2 linked regions of the Astyanax mexicanus genome follow. The protein of the gene in region 2 interacts with the protein of the main gene of each other region in a biochemical or structural test. Links are inferred from orthologs where the notes say so. Each region holds a gene or a part of one and is shown on either strand. Other genes may lie near its edges. The genes, in order: pros1 and f5.

Region 1 (9,532 bases), on a different chromosome or scaffold from region 2:
CCGACCAGTGCATCTGGGTACTTGTCTGATTACATTGTGCCAAGTGTAAAGTTTGGTAAAGGGGGAATTATGATGTGGGGTTGTTTTTTAGAAGTTGCGTTTGGTCTCTTCATTCCAGCCTTGCAGGAACAGTTTGGCCAAGTTCCTTTCTGTTCCAACATAACTGCACTCCAGTCCACAAAGCAAGGTCCATAAAGACACTGATGAACGAGTTTGATGTGAAAGACCTTGACTTCTTTGCTTGACCTGAACCCAATAAAACACCTTTGGGATAAATTAGAGCAAAAACTGTGAGCCTACAGGACCTGAGTTTGGGACCACCATGCTAGAAAATGAAGTGATGTATCAAAAACTGGAATAGCCCTGAGTAGTTGAATAAAGCATTAGATCATGGAAACAATAAAAATGTGGGAAAGTCATATTCCAGGACCACCCAGTGTTCCAAAGCACAAGATTCAGCACAAATAGGACTTGATCTTAAGAGAACAAAAACATTTTTTTTTACAAACCTGGTCCTGGAACCTTCCAGTCCTGCAATCACTTGTTCTACATTCTCCAAACACACCTGATTTAACTAATCAATTTATTATTAAAATTCCTGTCCGAATCAAAGTGGGTATGTTGTAGCATCTTCACTTGAAATTAAGTGAAGATAAGGCAACTGACAACTGTACTGTGCACTTTCAATGTTCTCAGTGTCTCGTTTTAAATGTCAGGGCCCTTGGAAATCCACCAATAAAGCGTGGAGCTACTATGAGCTTGTTAATGGCACAAAAAAGTGATTTCCCTGGATGGGAAATGCAATACCCCTATCACTAGCATTAAGGCACCATGTGGCCTCGGTTGCTCGGTCCTGCCGCTTTGCGCTCTATAACATCCGAAAAATTAGACCGTTCTTGACGCAACAGGCCACCCAACTCCTGGTGCAAGCGGTCGTCATCTCACGCCTCGACTTCTGCAATGCCCTGCTAACTGGCCTCCCGTCCTGTGTAGTAAAACCACTCCAGATGATCCAGAACGCAGCAGCACGTCTGGTCTTCAACCAGCCAAAACGGGCACATGTCACCCCGCTGCTCATTGAGCTCCATTGGCTACCAGTTGATGCTCGCATCAAATTCAAAGCTCTTACAATCGCCTACAAGGTGATGACAGAACAGGCTCCTTCCTACCTGCACTCGCTCCTGAAGGCTTACGCTACCTCCCGGCCGCTGCGCTCCTCCAGTGAACGTCGCCTCGCTTTGCCAAAAACTCACACAAAGCAATCCAGACTGTTCTCATACAGAGTTCCCCAATGGTGGAACAAACTACCTTCCACTACCAGATCAGGAGAATCTCTCGCTATTAGGGATGCAAATGATTAATCGACTTTAGATTAATTGTCGATCAAGAGGTTGCTCGAACAAAATGTATTACTCGCGATTAATCGCTAGAGGGCGCTACTGTAGTAACTTGAACAGAGCGTGAGAACGAGAGGTGAACACGACTCGCGAGAGACCAGGGTTGAAAACCAAATGAAGCGGGCGAAAATAAGTGCGGTGTGGGACCATTTCAACAATGTTAATTTAGGCAAAGAAGTCAAATGTTCTCTGTGTAATTCGGTATTGAAATACAACAGTTCCACTAGCTCACTCAGTTATCATTTGAACACCGTCACAGTTTCACTGAGAGCGCGAGCGTGTGATGAGAGAAGGGCGGAGGACATTACAGAGAGGATATGCAGCATGATCAAGAGAGATTTGATGCCAATCTAGACAGTTGACGGTACAGGGTTTCAGGATCTCTTTGCATTGAGGATTGTTGAGGATTTCCTAATTAATAGCCTGGATGCAGTTTCTTCATAATCTATAGGCTCAATAATAATCTGTTTGCCTCTCTATTTAATTTCTTCTATTCTTTTTTTTTTTTTAATATGTCTAATGGTACAAAAACGCAAAAACTGAGCCAGTCCTTAATTTATTTCTTTTTTTAAATTAAAGAATGTATTTTCTTATACCATAAAAAGTCTGATTTCTTTTCCTAATGCATAATTACTTGAGGAATATATAATATAATATAATACAATATAATTATCATAATATCATATATACTTTTTGAGCTCAGTGTTTTAACTATTTAGCTGGTATTTTTAAAGGCCCTATTGAAACACTAAAATTCAGGTAAAAACGCCGCTTATCAATTAATCGAAAGTCGATCGATAAGATCAATCAACTAATGATTAACGAATTAATCGATAATTTGCATCCCTACTCGCTATCTTTAAGAAACTCCTGAAGACAGAGCTCTTCAAAGAGCACTTAGACTCTTAAACACCTCTAACACACTAACTACTTCTATCCTCATTTCCTTCTTCCTCTCCTTCACTCCTCTATCCTATTATTCCCCTTTGTCCTCCTTTTATCCCTATCCAAAGATGTTTTACCTTTAAACTTATTTTACATTGTACTCAACTATTGTAAGCCGCTTTGGACAAAAGCGTCTGCCAAATGTAATGTAATGTAATGTAATGTAAAAGTGCTATATTCCAGAATGTTGGGGGTGAACAAAGGTGGGCTATTCGTCAAAAGTTTGTACTCGTTTTCATGTATCACTACACCACGAGTCTATTTCACATCGGATTTCTCCTTTAATAATAATATTAATTTATTTTTTGCAGTAGCATATTTATTTATTCATTTATTTATTTATTTTTACAAATTTCGATGTCTTTATAATATCGCCACAAATACTGCTATCCTATAAATACCCTGACATATTGTGATTAGTGTGGGACAAAATATTGATTTTGCGATATATTGTATTGTTTTTGTTTGTGATATATAATTGATATTTACTGTCCAATATCAGTGATTTTATTGAAACAAAGGTGCTCTAAACTTCCTAAGGCTACATACACATTACCAGGCAGAAATGACTCAAATCTGATTTTTTTTGCTCAATGTGGCTCAGATCTGATTTTTTTTAGTTATTTTGTGCTGTTAGCCAATCAGAGGCGATATGTTTGCATGCATGAATATTCATGAGCAAGAATCCTGTCTTCCTTCAGAGACCAAAGATAAAATAGAAATACCAGAGCACTTTAGATCACAAAAACAGCTCACATGGCATTCATTCATACTAGATAGCACAACTAGACATTTTAAAATGAATGAAAAACGATGGAGTGGGACCTTTAAGTATCGTAGAGAATCGTTTTTTTGCGATATTAGGAGTATCGCGGTACCTGCAGACCGTGCTGGAGGCTAGAACAGCAGATCAGAGGGTAAAATGAGGGCTGAATCAGTTTTTAAAGAACTGAATGGAGCTGAAGTGCAGCTCGCCCGCAGGTTTAACCGGATTAAGAGCGGACACTGAGTGCGCCAGCGGTTTTTACGTAGCTCGGGGGATTTATCTCACCACGTGCTGGAGTCCACTGAGCGAAAACACGTCCCTGCAGGGAGTTTGTACCTGTTTAACACGCTGTTAGTCTAAAGCGCGCGCTCTCACTGATCGATCAGATTCATCGATCTGCTACTCTAAACACGGCGCTGCCAAATAGTTTAATAGTGACGTAGTTCAGGATCTAACTAACCATAACTGTGATTCAGATTTAAGCCCACAGCCCTCAGTAAACTCAGTAATCGGGTGTGTGGGACCGAGTGAGCAGCTCCCGCGCCCGCTATCCGCTGTCTGAGTGAGAGCAGCGTAAAGTCCGGGTAAATAAATAAAGCCTGGCGGTAATGAATACTTACAGCGGTGGGCATCGCACACAGTCCAGACCAGCAGGAGGCTGGCCAGCGCCGCCGCTCTCTCCCCCCTCATGTTCAGGCCTGAACCGCGGGCTCGGAGGGGCTTATGTCGCTGCTGGCTGAGTTTCTGGCCGGTGGGAGAACTTTTTATTCCCCTCACAGGAGTTTTTTTTCGCTGCTTCAGCGAGGAGGTGCTGGGAGAGCGCCAACAGGCCAACAACCCGAGCGGCCAGAGAGGGCGCTGTTCCCCCGCCGCGCTCTGCTCTCCTCACCGCCTCACAGCAACCCTGCAGTCAGCCAGGTAAACCTGCACACCAACGACCCTCAGCTTAGCTCTGTTTACCTGTAACAAAACTCTGTTTACCTGTACCAACCCTCTCTATACCTCGGTTTACCTGGAACTGCCCCTGTTCAGCTCTGTTTACCTGTAACAACCCACTCTATACCTCTGTTTACCTGGAACAACCCTCTGTTTACGTGTCCCAATCCTCTCTATTCCCTTTGTTTACCTGTAACAACCTTCTGTTCACCTGTATCAATCCTCTCTATACCTCTGTTTACCTGTAACAACCCTCTCTATACCTCTGTTTACCTGTAACAGCCCTCTCTATACCTCTGTTTACCTGTAACTGCCCCTGTTCAGCTCTGTTTACCTGTAATAAACCTCTGTTCACCTGTATCAATCCTCTCTATTCCCTTTGTTTACCTGTAACCACCCTCTGTTTACCTGTATCAATCCTCTCTATACTTCTGTTTATCTGTAACAGCTTTCTCTATACCCGTTTACCTGTAACCACCCTCTGTTTACCTGTAACAACCCTCTCTATACCTCTGTTTACCTGTAACAGCCCTCTCTATACCTCTGTTTACCTGTAACTGCCCCTGTTCAGCTCTGTTTACCTGTAATAAACCTCTGTTCACCTGTATCAATCCTCTCTATTCCCTTTGTTTACCTGTAACCACCCTCTGTTTACCTGTATCAATCCTCTCTATACTTCTGTTTACCTGTAACAGCTTTCTCTATACCCGTTTACCTGTAACCACCCTCTGTTTACCTGTAACAACCCTCTCTATACCTCTGTTTACCTGTAACATCCCGCTCTATACATCTGTTTACCTGTAACAACCCTCTCTATACCTCTGTTTACCTGTAACATCCCGCTCTATACCTCTGTTTACCTTTAACAACCCTCTCTATACCTCTGTTTACCTGAACCTGCCCATGTTCACCTCTGTTTACCTGTAACAACCCTCTCTATACCTCTGTTTACCTGGAACTGTCCCTGTTCACCTCTGTTTACCTGTATCAATCCTCTCTATACCCCTGTTTACCTGTAACCACCCTCTGTTTACCTGTAACAGCTTTCTCTATACCCGTTTACCTGTAACCACCCTCTGTTTACGTGTAACAACCCTCTCTATACCTCTGTTTATCTGTGACATCCCGCTCTATACCTCTGTTTACCTGTAACAACCCTCTGTTCACCTGTAACAACTCTCTCTATACCTCTGTTTACCTGTAACAACCCTCTCTATACCTCTGTTTACCTGAACCTGCCCATGTTCACCTCTGTTTACCTGTAACAACCCTCTCTATACCTCTATTTACCTGGAACTGCCCCTGTTCACCTCTGTTTACCTGTAACAACCCTCTGTTTACCTGTAACTGCCTTCTGTTTACCTGTAACTGCCTTCTATTATACCTTACCTTATATTTGTTCTTTCATTATTCAAGTCTTAAATTGTTAATTAATATTAATTATGATGTCCTTTAAGCTTGCATATTTTCTCTGTTTATCTATGGTAAATAAATATTGTTTTTAATTTTCATTAGATTCTTGTCTGTTGTAAATACTCAAGTACATTACAATGATGGCAATTTTAATGTCCAATAATATTTTCTCTGTAAATATTTTAGTGTATAACTAAGAATTTATTAGACTATTTTTAAGCATAGACATTCTAGCAGTGATTTAAATCACCTGCATAAAAATTTTGAAATGTGTTTTGTTTTTTTTTTTCAAAAAGATTTGAACCTAAGAAATGACCAGTAAGCATAAGTACACAACATTAACTGAGGGCAGAAATTAATAACAAATTTACTGTAATTTGGTGCACAATCATTGGTTTGTTGTTAAATTTTCTTCCCTTGTTTCTCCCATTTACTCCACAGCCATGTTGACCTACACTCATCTGTTGACTTTCATCTGCTCAACAGCCACCAAATATTAATTCTGTTGTTTTTCATCCACACATTTAGTTTCGTAAATAACTAGTTTAAAAATTTAAAATATATATATATACATTTTATAAACAATTGTCAAGCATTTGTCAAGCATTCAAGCAATTCCTGTTGAAAAGATGATAAACAGTCAGATGTGTCTAAATATAATAAAAACACAGACACCATTTTGTTGCTATTGTCTTCATTTGGACAAAAAACAAAACAAAAAGAAATTTTGCATTCATGTTTTCATAACGCGTTCCACATTTGACCTGTACACATCACAGACTTGTAATAATACTCTTTATATACTTATATAAAATACACTGTTCTCCCTTTTTAAGGTTTCACTTTGAAGAAAATTATTGATTTGTAGCTGGACTATAGGATTTATCAATTATAATTTGTAACAGATCAGATATTGGTAAAATAAATGATCATAAAATTATTGCATCGTTTATACTGTGCGTCTGAAGAGCGTACAGTGCTTTTTCGTAATCAAATAACTTCTTCCACAAAATGCTATACTGTGATATAAAAATAAATACTGAACTTTTTGAAGTGGGTAGCAGAAGGCTGTCTGGCTTCTACTGAAACAACATATTCACACTAAAACATGCAGTACTGAGCGAATTATAGTGAGGCATGTGGGTCATTAATATAGTTCAGAACCTCAAACACGGAAGAACGACACTCATGATGTCACAAACAGAAATGAAATGCTGGGAGATCACTGGTGAAAATGGAAAACCTGGAAACAGAATCATGGAACTTTGAGAATTCTTCAAAAGAGAAACTGGAAATGTTGCTTCTCCGATTCCATTCCATTAACATACACTCCTTTATACATACATGCTCGCTTGCTTCAATCCGCAATTATTCATACACACACACACACACAGGTTCTGAAACCTGTATCTCAAAGGGCAAGAGTTCTCAGTACAAGACACAGATAGAAAATGCATTAATTACAGTACATAAAATTCAACAAAAGTACAAAACACACAAAAAATGTCTGGCATCGATATAACTGGCAGTCTGTTCTTAAAAGGGCAGCTGTTGCACGCCAGGTAGGTTCTCTTAGATGATTCAGATTTAAGAAAGGAGCACTACAGTGATTGGCTTGGAATTGGTGACAAAATATTAGTACTGAGTTGATTGTTGCCGTGTCTTTGACATTTGACACTGTGCAAAAGCTAGAGACCAGCGTTCACGTTTTATTTCATCTCCAATATAGGCCGCACAACTTAGAACCAATATGTGTGGTCTGTGGGCTTCAGTGATGGGCCCGACATATATACAGCTCTAACAAAATAAAAGACCACTAGGGAATATAATCAAGAGGAAGATGGATGATCACAAGCCATCAAACCAAACTGAACTGCTTTAATATTTGTTGTCCAAAGTTATCCAAAAGCAGTGTGTAAGACTGCTGGAGGAAAACATGACAAGATTAATGAAAACTGTGATTAAAAACCAGGATTATTCCATCAAATATTGCTTTCTGAACTCTTAAAACTTTATGAATATAAACTTGTTTTCTTTGCATTATTTGAGGTCTGAAAGCTCTGCATCTTTTTTGTTATTTCAACCATTTCTCATTTTCTGCACATTGGGCCTAGATGGGACCTACTGTACCAGTCAGAATTTGTTGTACATTTGTGCAACTTTATAGGCACCTTTAGAGTAATAAAGTCAAAGTTGGTTTTGGTATTGGTACTCAGTATCGTTAAATACTTGAAAATTTGTAATCTATATCGGAATATTGGAAGGGGAAAAGTGGTATCGGTCTATCCTTCAATTAATAGTAGTAAATATAAAAAATTCTAATGTTATATGTAGTTGAGGCTTCTGTGTGATTTTCTGTTAAATGTTTATATTTTCTACTTTTGTTCTGCCTGTAAACCGATCATTTATTAATTAATCAATAACAAACTTGGCTACTAAGGAAATAAATGAAAGCTGGTCTATAACATCTGCACAGTGCTATGTACTGTAACTTTAACTGTAACTGTGCCTACGCTGTAGCTAATTGGGTTTAACTGACAGGTTTACATACCAAAAAGTGTAAAGGAATGTTCACAAAAGCAGGAAACAATACTGCAACACGTCTAAACAAGGGCAAGGTGCAGGCAAAAATCAACAAAGAAACACTTTAGATACCAAAAAATGGCAACAAAAGAAAGCTTCCATAACGACAGTCGACCTAAGACAGTATTATACCTTGATATCTTGGACACTGTCATTATAAGAATAAGAAAAAAAGATTACAGTTAACATCTGATTCAGATAGGTCCTCTGAAGCTGAAACAAATCCAATCCACCGTCCCAATTCAGAACAATTAACCTAGATAGCACAAATTTAGGTCTGATTCTGGACCAAAAGCTTGGCTCACATCCGGGCTGAATGACGGATTTGCCAACATTAGCCGCATGTGCCAGCACCCTGGTTCTAGAGTGTAACATGGCGATTAGCCTGCACTGCTTTTACCAAAACCCCAGTTGCTGAGTATATACCACATTTGGCCCAATTCCGCATGGCTGATGCCGAATCTCAGGCAATGCTGCCATACATTGGCCATACTTGTGTGTGATTCTTAATGCTATCTGGGAAACCTCTGCTCATTTGATTGACAACATTTTTTGTTGTACTTTGGCTATACTTACATTGCCAGCACTTAAATGCAGCTCAATGAAAATTAAAGAAAGTTTACCCATTACCCGGATTCCCATAGCTACTGTCAGCAGGCTCTTAATTTTCTGAACTGGTTTGTGATTGGTTGTGAGGCTGTTATTACAGGCATGCACCAACAAGACTAAAAAATTCACTGACTAAAAAAAAACAAACATCAGAAAATATTCTCAGACCTATAGTTTGGTCCTGAAGTTTGAGAACAAATAGAATAAAATAATCAATACCTAAAACAAAGTCTCTCATTGGTGGATCCATATTTTTCCTTCTTATTTTTTTTTTCATACAAAAAAAACTCGTATTACAATGTTTAAAACATGCCATGAGGCAGAGCTACATCGTCGACGGGGCAGGTGTGACGATTAAAGTGCATATGGCCGCTGACACACAGTTCAGTGGAAAGCTGTTGATTGGGTTTGTACATCATACAAAAAGGTATAGATAGCTTCATGTGAGCTTCACTCTTCGCTGCTTCATCTTCTTTACTGCTTTCTCCTCTTCCTTCTTTAGTCACAGCTCGGTGTTGCTGTGTCGTACGCTCACTGCCGTGGTGTTCGGTGCAGAGAGAAGGGCACGGTGCTGATTGGGCAGTTGGGTCAGATTGAGTAGGTGGAGCTCTCTGATTGTTGGCGAATGTAGCACTGGAAGCTCTTGTCACCGATTGGATGCTCCCTGTATTAATAAAAAACAAACAAACAAACAAACTACAGATTAGTTTGTTGCCCAATAGCAGCACACTCTGAACACCTATAGAGGACGAAAAATGACATAAGTATAAATAAATGCACATATACAGCTCTAAAAAAAAAAAAAAAAGAGACCACTTTAAAACGATAAGTTTCTATGATTTTACCAAATTGAAAACCTCTGGAATATAATCAAGAGGAAAAT
Region 2 (9,245 bases):
ACATTGAGACATTTCTTCTCCATTTGACCAACACTGAGAGATAGAGGTGACTCAAATAAACAAAAAAATCTGAAAAACGATTTTAAAAATTTATTTAAATTGTAAATTTTTTAGTGAGGACACACCCACAATTATTGCTACTGGAAATTTGTACAATTAAAAATGCAGCAGATAAACAGTTAGGTTATTTAAACATATACTGATTTGCTGTTGATTGTTGAAGTAATCTCCCAGAAAGACAATTAAAGATGATGTGTCTTAAATTTGTATTATTTTCCCTTTTGTATGTTGTACCTTTAATAATACATTTACTGTATATTGTTTTTAGCTTTCTTGGGAACATTTAAATAGACTAGAATAGCCAAACAGGCTATGGTAACCGAAAATAAAGTTAAAGTAAACTAAGTTGGTGAATAAAACTCTCTCTTAATATATTATTTTAGTCTTCAGTGGTTAACTTACCTGGAACAGAGCCATTTGTGAAGCCATTGATGGTGTATTTCACATGCTCTTTAGTTGGAGGGCCTCCTTTGCTGTACCAGCTTTTGTTCTCGTCGAACACCCCAAAGAGCAGCACCAGTTCCTGTTGAAAATGGACCTGATCTCCAGAGTCACTGAGGCTGCCTGCAGAGCAAAAAAACACATACCACGCTGACCTTCAGCATAAACAGTCTTATCTCTGATACCAGGTCCTCTGATCTCCGAAAGAGTAACAGAGCACAGGGCCGATGATGCAATGCACACACATTGAAAGTAATACCCAATAATGAGGATCACGGACGCTTAAAAAATAAACCTTTAAGTGACTTACCTTTCTTACAGACCAGCATCATCCCAATCAGGCCTGTGTTGTAGTCTCTGACAATGTCTTGGTGGGAGATGTACATGTAGGTGAGACAGGGAGGGTCTGTAGCTTTCGGGACCACATCAGGACTCACCTCCCAGGAGTACGTGTGCTCATTGCCAGGACTGATGACATCGTCCTCTTTTTCAAAGTCGGAGGTGTTGTCAAAGTATAAAGAGCCTAAAAGATTGAGGATTTAAATTGAGAAATATGAATGTTTTGCGAAATGTTTAGTATTATTCATCTGAGGAGAGAGGAAGAGAGTTATATCATATAACGGGAAATAGAAGCAGATATGTGTTGAGTAAACGAATGTTCTTTTTTTTTTTGCTGTCGATTTGGACTTGGGTACAACCTGTGGTTAATATGTATGAAAAAGGTAAATAAAGACCTGTTTGTGCTGGATGTTCAGTAAATCACAGTAGTTATTCAACTTGTTGCTGAAAAAATATTCTTAAAATAACGAGTAACAATGTAACAAACATTTAATGTTCTTAAAATTTTAATGGTCTTATAAATTCTGTAGTCCTAGGTATTTAACTGGTTATAAGTACAGTCTTTAGTAACTAGGCTAAAGTAAGCACTTGAAATGCTCTTATTAAGTCGTATTAGATCAGTCTAGATCAGGGGTCACCAACCTTTTTGAACCTGAGAGCTACTTCTTGGGTACCAATTAATGCGAAGGGCTACCAGTTTGATACACACTCGTGAAATTACAAATTTTCTCAATTTACCTTTAATTATATGTTATTATTAATAATTAATGACATTCATCTATGTGAAGACACAGATATCAATAGGCAACACTATTATTATAAATCTCTGCAAGTGTTTACATTTTATATTATATTTTAATATAATATTACATATTATATTACATTATATTGTATAATAATATATAAACTATAGGCTATCTCTAAGCTAATATTAATGTAATATAATCTAAAATTACATCAATGCAACTGTGATTTAAAAAAAAAAAGAATAGCAACAAAAATGCTATTTTTAGACCAGGCCTGCGGGCTACTCATAAGGTCCTTGCGGGCTACCTGGTGCCCGCGGGCACCATGTTGGTGACCCCTGGTCTAGATATTGCTTAATAATATACAGTAGTAACATGTAGCCTGTTAATGACTTGTTAATAATTACTGGCTGGTTAAAGCCTTAATGAGTGTATAATAAGGACAAAATAAATAAATGCAAATTTTATGCAAATAAATAGTGTATAAAATAAGTTTTAGGCTGTTCCTACTCCTTTACTATCCTGTTACACAATTTCACCAACACTTTGCGGCTGAAAAATATCATCTGCTTCCTGTGATTTTGCCATCACATATTTTTGAATTGCTTTTAATGCTGTCCATTATTCAAAAGATCTACACGCTTGGAGGAGATCACTAAATGACAGTCAGTCAATGTCTGAATTGGATAGCACTATTAAGTGTTAAGTAATAGTGAGAGAGAGAGAGGTGGTGCCATCCTATGCACCCAGAGAAAGAGAAGCAAATTGTGATGGCTATTGAATTACTGGTAGGTAAACTCACAATTTTACAGTGAAGGTCAATGCTTAACCAGCTAGAAACATAGGATTATGTTTATATATTATAATGTTTGTAAAACACAGCATAGTAAGTTATTATAACATCAGTTTACTGACCCTCTGACTGTTTTCCATAAGCAATGCCATGCGGATGGATGCTACATGGATGATCGGCCATGTTTCTGAAAGTGACAGTGATGACGTCATCTTCTTCACCCCTCAGCGTGGGTCCCAGCAGCCCTTAAGATATACATAATTATTCATTATCCATAAGTCAGTAAGTCTGTGAATGTATTGGACCTAAAGTAATGTTGACATTCACTTTGACATTGACGTGAGTGTATTTTTTTGTAAGTGTTAGGAAGACACAGTGATGTCATGTTAAAAAGAGAATCAGTCAGACTTGAATCAGTGTCTTAAATACCTGACCACGAAGGATGAGTCTTGGCCTGTTTGAAATGTTGATCGTACTCCCTGTACACTGTCTTTCTATATATGGGACCACCCCTGTAAAGCCATGAAAATAACCACAACGATTTACAGGGAACAGAAGGAAATGCTTTAAAAGTCTTTATACACATATAAAATCACTTAAAAAATATAAAGTTATTTATGTGTGCAGTACATGATCACTTGTTCAAAATGAATGACATTAGAATAAAAAAAAATAATGATAATAATAACATAATACAATAATAAACAATGTAGTGCAATTGTGTATAATGGAAATGTATTAAAGGGCAAATCAGGCGAGCTTCTGGTGAAACTGACAATTCTACACAGTGTCTAAAGTTTAAAGAAGCTGTCAACTGTGTTTTTTAACATATCAGTAGACATACATTTACTGGACATACATTCTGACTGCTGTGTTTATGTTGTTCATTTGTATTTAAATTGTGTCATTTTAAAAATAAAGTATAGATTTTAAGTATGAATTTACCTCTAACAATATTGGATAGTTAATGAATGAATCATTATATAGTATGAAAATGTCTTCTGTCTATAAATCTCACTGCAAACAACTTATTCAACTGCAAAACAACTCTTGTCCAATCAAAATGCCATTTATTAATGCATTTAGGAGCCAAAGCCTTGAAATAATCTTAAATTATATGACGATATTGAAAGAAAAAAACACTGCTGAGATTAGTTCCTAAGATGTTTAAACAGCACTATACTTATTATAGTATATATTTTTAAAAACACAAAAGCACAAAAGAAACACTACTCTACAATCCATTCTACAGATGACATGTTTAAAAATCCATAAACTGACTCTAAATTGAATAAATTACTTTTTTTTAAATAAATCAGTATTTGCTGAATAAAGAGAATTCCGATTTGACAGCTTTTATACAAATACAACTCAACAAAAACAGCTAAAATATTAAAATTTTAATTCATCATCATTATTTAACATGAAACACAAAATTAAATAACAGGAGAAAAAGCACAATTAAACTAAATCAATTTGTGATATTATTAAAAAAAAATGCAGATAAATCCATACCTCTGATTTCCATTAGCATTGTAATCCCAGTCAATATTCACAGCAGCAATATAGTATTTCCTCTCCACTGCTGAAACACAGCCGGTCAGAAACGCCAGAAGGGCCAAAGCACAGGGAGCCTCTGGCCTGGAGTAGAGCCTCATGTCTCAGCATGGAAGCCCCAGGTAAGACCAGTCTGTTCTAAAGAGCAGAAGCTTCTGATCCCTCAGTAAAGACTGCAGATAGCTTTATCTCTCCCTCCCTCTTTTTTGTCTTTCCTGTCTCATCTTCCACAGCCAGACACACACACCCACCTACACACAGACACACACAGACACACAGAGTTTCAACATTTTGTCCCGGGCAACGAACTCTCTACTCTGCTCTTTCATCACCAATCAAAAACCACATGTTTATTTTTAGTCATCAGTAGCAGCTTATAAAAAAATACTATTGTAAAAAGAACACTATGAAATGTACAGTACAGTAGCTAGCTAGTAAGTTGCTCTATAACAGTTTACACTTTACATTTAATCACAGTACCTAATAAACCTGCTTTATTTTGATCACAGCTAATATTAGACTAATTTAAAAGGCATTACTGCATTCAATTAAAGATTGTAAAATTACAAATGGTAAAATAATTATATTGTAAAAAGACACAAAGACAAGTACATTTGTGTAAACGTACGGTATTCTTTTTAAAATGTTTATTAAGTACATATAGGTTATGTACCTTAAACATTTTAGCATGCAGATAGCATTTTATAAGCTGTATAGAGTAAAACAGATGATTAACATGGCTAAATGAAGTTAGCTTAGCTAACATAGGTATTTGGCTAGTTAGCTAACCCAGCTAACACCACCTAGCTAGGTTAGCTAACTACCTATGTTAGCTAAGCTAACTTTATTAGCCGCTAGTTAGCGATATACAGCTATGGAAAAAAATAAGAGACCAGTTCAGTTTCTAAATCAGTTTCTCTGATTTTGCTATTTAAAGATATATGTTTGAGTAAAATGAACATTGTTGTTTTCATCTATAAACTACGGACAACATTTCTCCCAAATTCCAAATAAAAATATGGTCATTTACAACATTTAGAGCGTTTAGCAGAGAAAATAAGAAATAGCTGAAAAAACAACAAAAAAAAAAAAATGCAGAGCTTTCAGACCTCAAATAATGCAAAGAAACAAGTTCATATTTATAGAGTTTTAAGAAGAGCTAAAGAGTTCAGAAAGCATTATTTGGTGGAATAACCCTGGTTTTTAATCACAGTTTTCATGCATCTTGGCATGTTTTCCTTCATCAGTCTTACACGCTGCTTTTGGATAACGTTATGCCACAGTGAATAATGAAGAAGTCAATGAGTGAACCCTTCTGAATGCAGCTCAGGAGTAATTTGTTAAGGTGACACTGTAGCTTTTGGGGACGTGTCAGTAGTCAGGTACCAGCAGTATTTGTGCTCACTGCCTGGAAGAATGACGTCATTCACTTTTTCAGAGATGGAGGACTAAAAGATTAAAGAGTAGCATGTTCTAAATGTTAATGTATCTCCTGTTTACTGTTTAGACATTTTTAGCATGTGATAATAATTGGAGGTAACAGCAATAAATTCTCCATTAGATATCACCAGAGGATATCTACAATTGTTTTTTTTCACTTTCATTTTGTAGTGAGAGCCGGTGGTTAATATGTAAAAAAAAAAAAAACACGCCCACTTGTGCTGACAATTTGTAAACGCAGCTGAACAAATAGGACAGAAAGATTGTACATCATGTTCACACAAAAAAAGAAAAGAAACTGTATTTGTGGTTAAAGCAGATAGGACAGATCTGTCATGTTATCACCTCAGAAGGACCATGTTGATGTTTAATGCTTGTTTTCCTTTCTTAATATTAGTAGAATTTTTGTAGATGGTCCCATATAAATCATTTAGAAAATGGTTTTATATCGTATCATTATGAGCCAAAGAAATCTTTACTTAGACTATATCTAAGAATTTATAGTGATATTATTTTCTGATAATTTCACATTGCTCAATTAATGTATCCCTTTGTTTCTATAGAATTTGCCCTAAAATGTAAAACTAGGAATTTCCTCAAATCTAGTTTTTGTTACTAACAGAAATAATAGCAAATTGTCTATTCTTGTATTTTTTCTTGTTACATGTTTGGATACTTTTTCAAATCTGTAAAACAAGCTGATGACTGTGGCATTAAAATATGTACTTATATAATACAATATTACTGTATATTGTATTATATTATTTAACATATGTAGTGTAGTATTATGATGTTCATGACATGATGCATTACATTAACTGACAAATGATTTTTTCTTTTTTAAGTTAAAGTCAATAAACACTGACCAAAACATGGGTAAAGTTACTGGACTGTCATCAATGTAACTTAGAAATAAGTGACATATCAAATTGGACATTATACAGATGTAGTAGCTCCACACGGGTATGACACTAAAATGCTGTGACCAACCAGGGACTGCAAAATAAATACAATAAATAATAATAATTTTTATTGTTAAATAATAAATAATAATAAATAATAAAGAAATGCTGGCAGTGAGATGAGACAACACTGTCTAAATAAAGTGTGGGTGAGTGATTATAAAAGGATGAAGACACTTTGTAACTTAGTAACTAAAACACTGCTGTCAGAGGCTCTGACTGTCTTACTCGTATAAAATATCTTGCAAAATCTGTTAACTGTCAAAAAATTCCAAGAAGAACCTCATACTGTCTTACCGTCAGCAGGAACACATTTCTGATCAGTGATGTTTTTACTGGCATGGTTACAGCGATATGCATCACAAACCTTGCATGACAGAAAAATTTAATTAGTTGGAATTTCGTCATTGTCTGATGGAAAATTCCCCTAAGGTACTTTGCACATCTGTTAGGATTTAGAAGTGGAAGGTCACTGACATGCCCAGAAGTGGTGGAGAAAGTGGTGGAGCTCTGGTAATAAAATGCTTCCGCAATAAAGTCACATAAACAAAGGAAAACCTGAAATTTAAGCATAAGCAACTATAACTCAAAACAAATGCATTTTTAGCAGTATTCACATTATTTCAGTTAATTTATACAGTAGTAAACTTATTTTAGACAAATATAGAGCTGAGCCAAATGATCTGACACTGTTTATAGCTATAATTAGACATAATGACATTATGATATGCTTTTCTGAACACATTATGGATGTCAAGAATAAAGAGTAGCACTTGTACTTTTATCCATATCTTGAATATCTCTAGTATAATTATGTATAATTAATATATAAAAATAATATGTATTATTAAAATATAATTATGTCACATTTATGTCATATCACCCAACATTGCTTAACAGTTTACCACTGGAAGGGTCAAATAAATGGATGGAATAGGTGCAACAGTCTGTTAAGGCTTCTACAGCCTTACAGGAAAAGCTCTATTGTATCCCCTGCTGGTGCTGCTATAAATAACAGCAACTCTTACATAGACTTAGAATATGAATAACAAGGATATTAAACATGTAGACTCCAAAAAGAAATTATAAACAGGGTTTAGTTTTTAAGACTAAACACTGTCAGTGAAGATTCCCCAGCGGAAATCCTTTCAGCTTTGTCTAGACTATAATTTGTGTTCAGGAAACAGACTCAGAGACAAGCAGACTAACATTCACAGCTATTCAGCTATATTTTCTGATAAAACTAATGAGAATCTTAACCCTTGTGGTTTATGCTTCACTGTCTTCTCTAGCGTCCTTTACTGTCTTCTCTCTACCAATGATTTAGAACTACTAATTCAGCACCGTCACTAAAGTATCTCCACTTTTTCATTACTGTGCTCTTATTACTGTTTAGGCTAAATATTGTTAGTATTATTGGATGTGATTGAAACCTGAATTAATTGGTTTGGAAGGGTGAGCGAATACTTTTGGCAATATAGTGTAACTCAACTGAAGCTAAAAATGCTTCTAACTTATTTATTTCATTGATTTATTTTGTGATTTGTTGACTGCATGTTTTGTATTTTCAAATAAAATGTAATATTATAATATATCTTAAAATACAGTTTTTATTTTTATTTTAAATTACAGTATATTTTCCCTATATAATTTCCCACAGTCACTTATATGTGGAGAAATAAGTTATATAAAATAATATATATATTTTTTTATCTACATAAAATATAGGAATTAATAGAATATATCCTGTAAAAGTATTGAGATTATTTGTATGATTTATTTTTAATATATAAACATTATTTATACAACACAAACGTATATAAATATATAAATACCCCAATATATAAATTTTCCACATTTACTTATATGTGGGGAAATAAATTAAATAAATAATATTTTTATCAATATAAAATAAAGGCATTAGTAAAGTATATTCTGCAGTAGTTTTTAGATAAGTTTTATGATTTATTTTAAAAATATAAACATTATTTTTTACAACACAAACTTATATAAATATACAAATAATATTTACCACGGTCACTTATATGTCAAGAAATAAAAAAAAAATCTAAAATTAAATAAATAATATTTTTTATTTTTACGTGAATATTTTTCACGTAACTTATAGGAATTAGTAAGATATAACTTAGAGTAGTATTTAGATTATTTGTATGATTTTTTAATAAATATAAACATTTAAAAAATGTATACGAAACAAAAATATCTGTATTTTATTTACAGCTGATCTGAAGGGGGACTTTACTTGTGAAAGTGCGGGGCGATGACGCCGGATTCACCGTGCGCGTGCGCAGTAGCGTCGGCGTGAAATTGGGAAGAGTGGAGAGCAGCTGATTGACAGGTAAAGGTAGAAACAAAACCATAAACACTGTTATTTAGCTAATTTACTGAAGGATTTATCTGTGTTTTGTTTTATTTGTACTCAGTGTCAGTGTTAGTGTTAGTGAGGGTGTGTGCTGGGCTCCTCTGCAGTCTGCGTGTCCAGCCTAATCAATACTAACACACACACACACACACACAGACTAGCAGCTGTTTATATTAACATTACTGCAGTATCTATACTTATCGTGTTATCTGGTTAAAAAATAGAAATCAGAAATATATACATATATACATACGTCATTTAGCTAAATTCACTTTTCTATGTTCAAGGCAAGAGGCTTTTACTGTCATTCCAAATAAGTACAAGTACACAGTGCAATGAAATTAGCCACGTTCCTCCAGAACCACACAGTGCAACATGGAAGATACAGTACAGTATAGACAAAATAAAGGTGCAACACATTGTTCAACATATATCTAGATGTTACTGTATGTTACAGTACGTTATATTTATATGTTACAGTATGATAGTTACATATCTCAGCACCTTATCCTCACCACACACTT

Evidence for each region.
Region 1: the proteins of f5 (region 2) and pros1 form a complex in vitro, tested with the Homo sapiens proteins (2 studies listed by BioGRID). The link is inferred for Astyanax mexicanus from reciprocal best matches to the Homo sapiens genes F5 and PROS1.

Annotation. Positions count from the first base shown.
Region 1 is NC_064428.1:18,919,876-18,929,407, reverse strand, and holds the start of pros1 (vitamin K-dependent protein S), read right to left. Parts: upstream 3,856-9,532; 5' UTR 3,799-3,855; coding exon 3,729-3,798; intron 1-3,728. Other genes in the region: rasa3 (ras GTPase-activating protein 3), read right to left, coding at 9,238-9,313. UniProt on the Homo sapiens protein: Anticoagulant plasma protein; it is a cofactor to activated protein C in the degradation of coagulation factors Va and VIIIa. It helps to prevent coagulation and stimulating fibrinolysis.
Region 2 is NC_064418.1:5,183,637-5,192,881, forward strand, and holds the start of f5 (coagulation factor V), read right to left. Parts: upstream 4,100-9,245; 5' UTR 4,038-4,099; coding exon 3,895-4,037; intron 2,892-3,894; coding exon 2,809-2,891; intron 2,625-2,808; coding exon 2,502-2,624; intron 1,025-2,501; coding exon 812-1,024; intron 625-811; coding exon 463-624; intron 1-462. UniProt on the Homo sapiens protein: Central regulator of hemostasis. It serves as a critical cofactor for the prothrombinase activity of factor Xa that results in the activation of prothrombin to thrombin.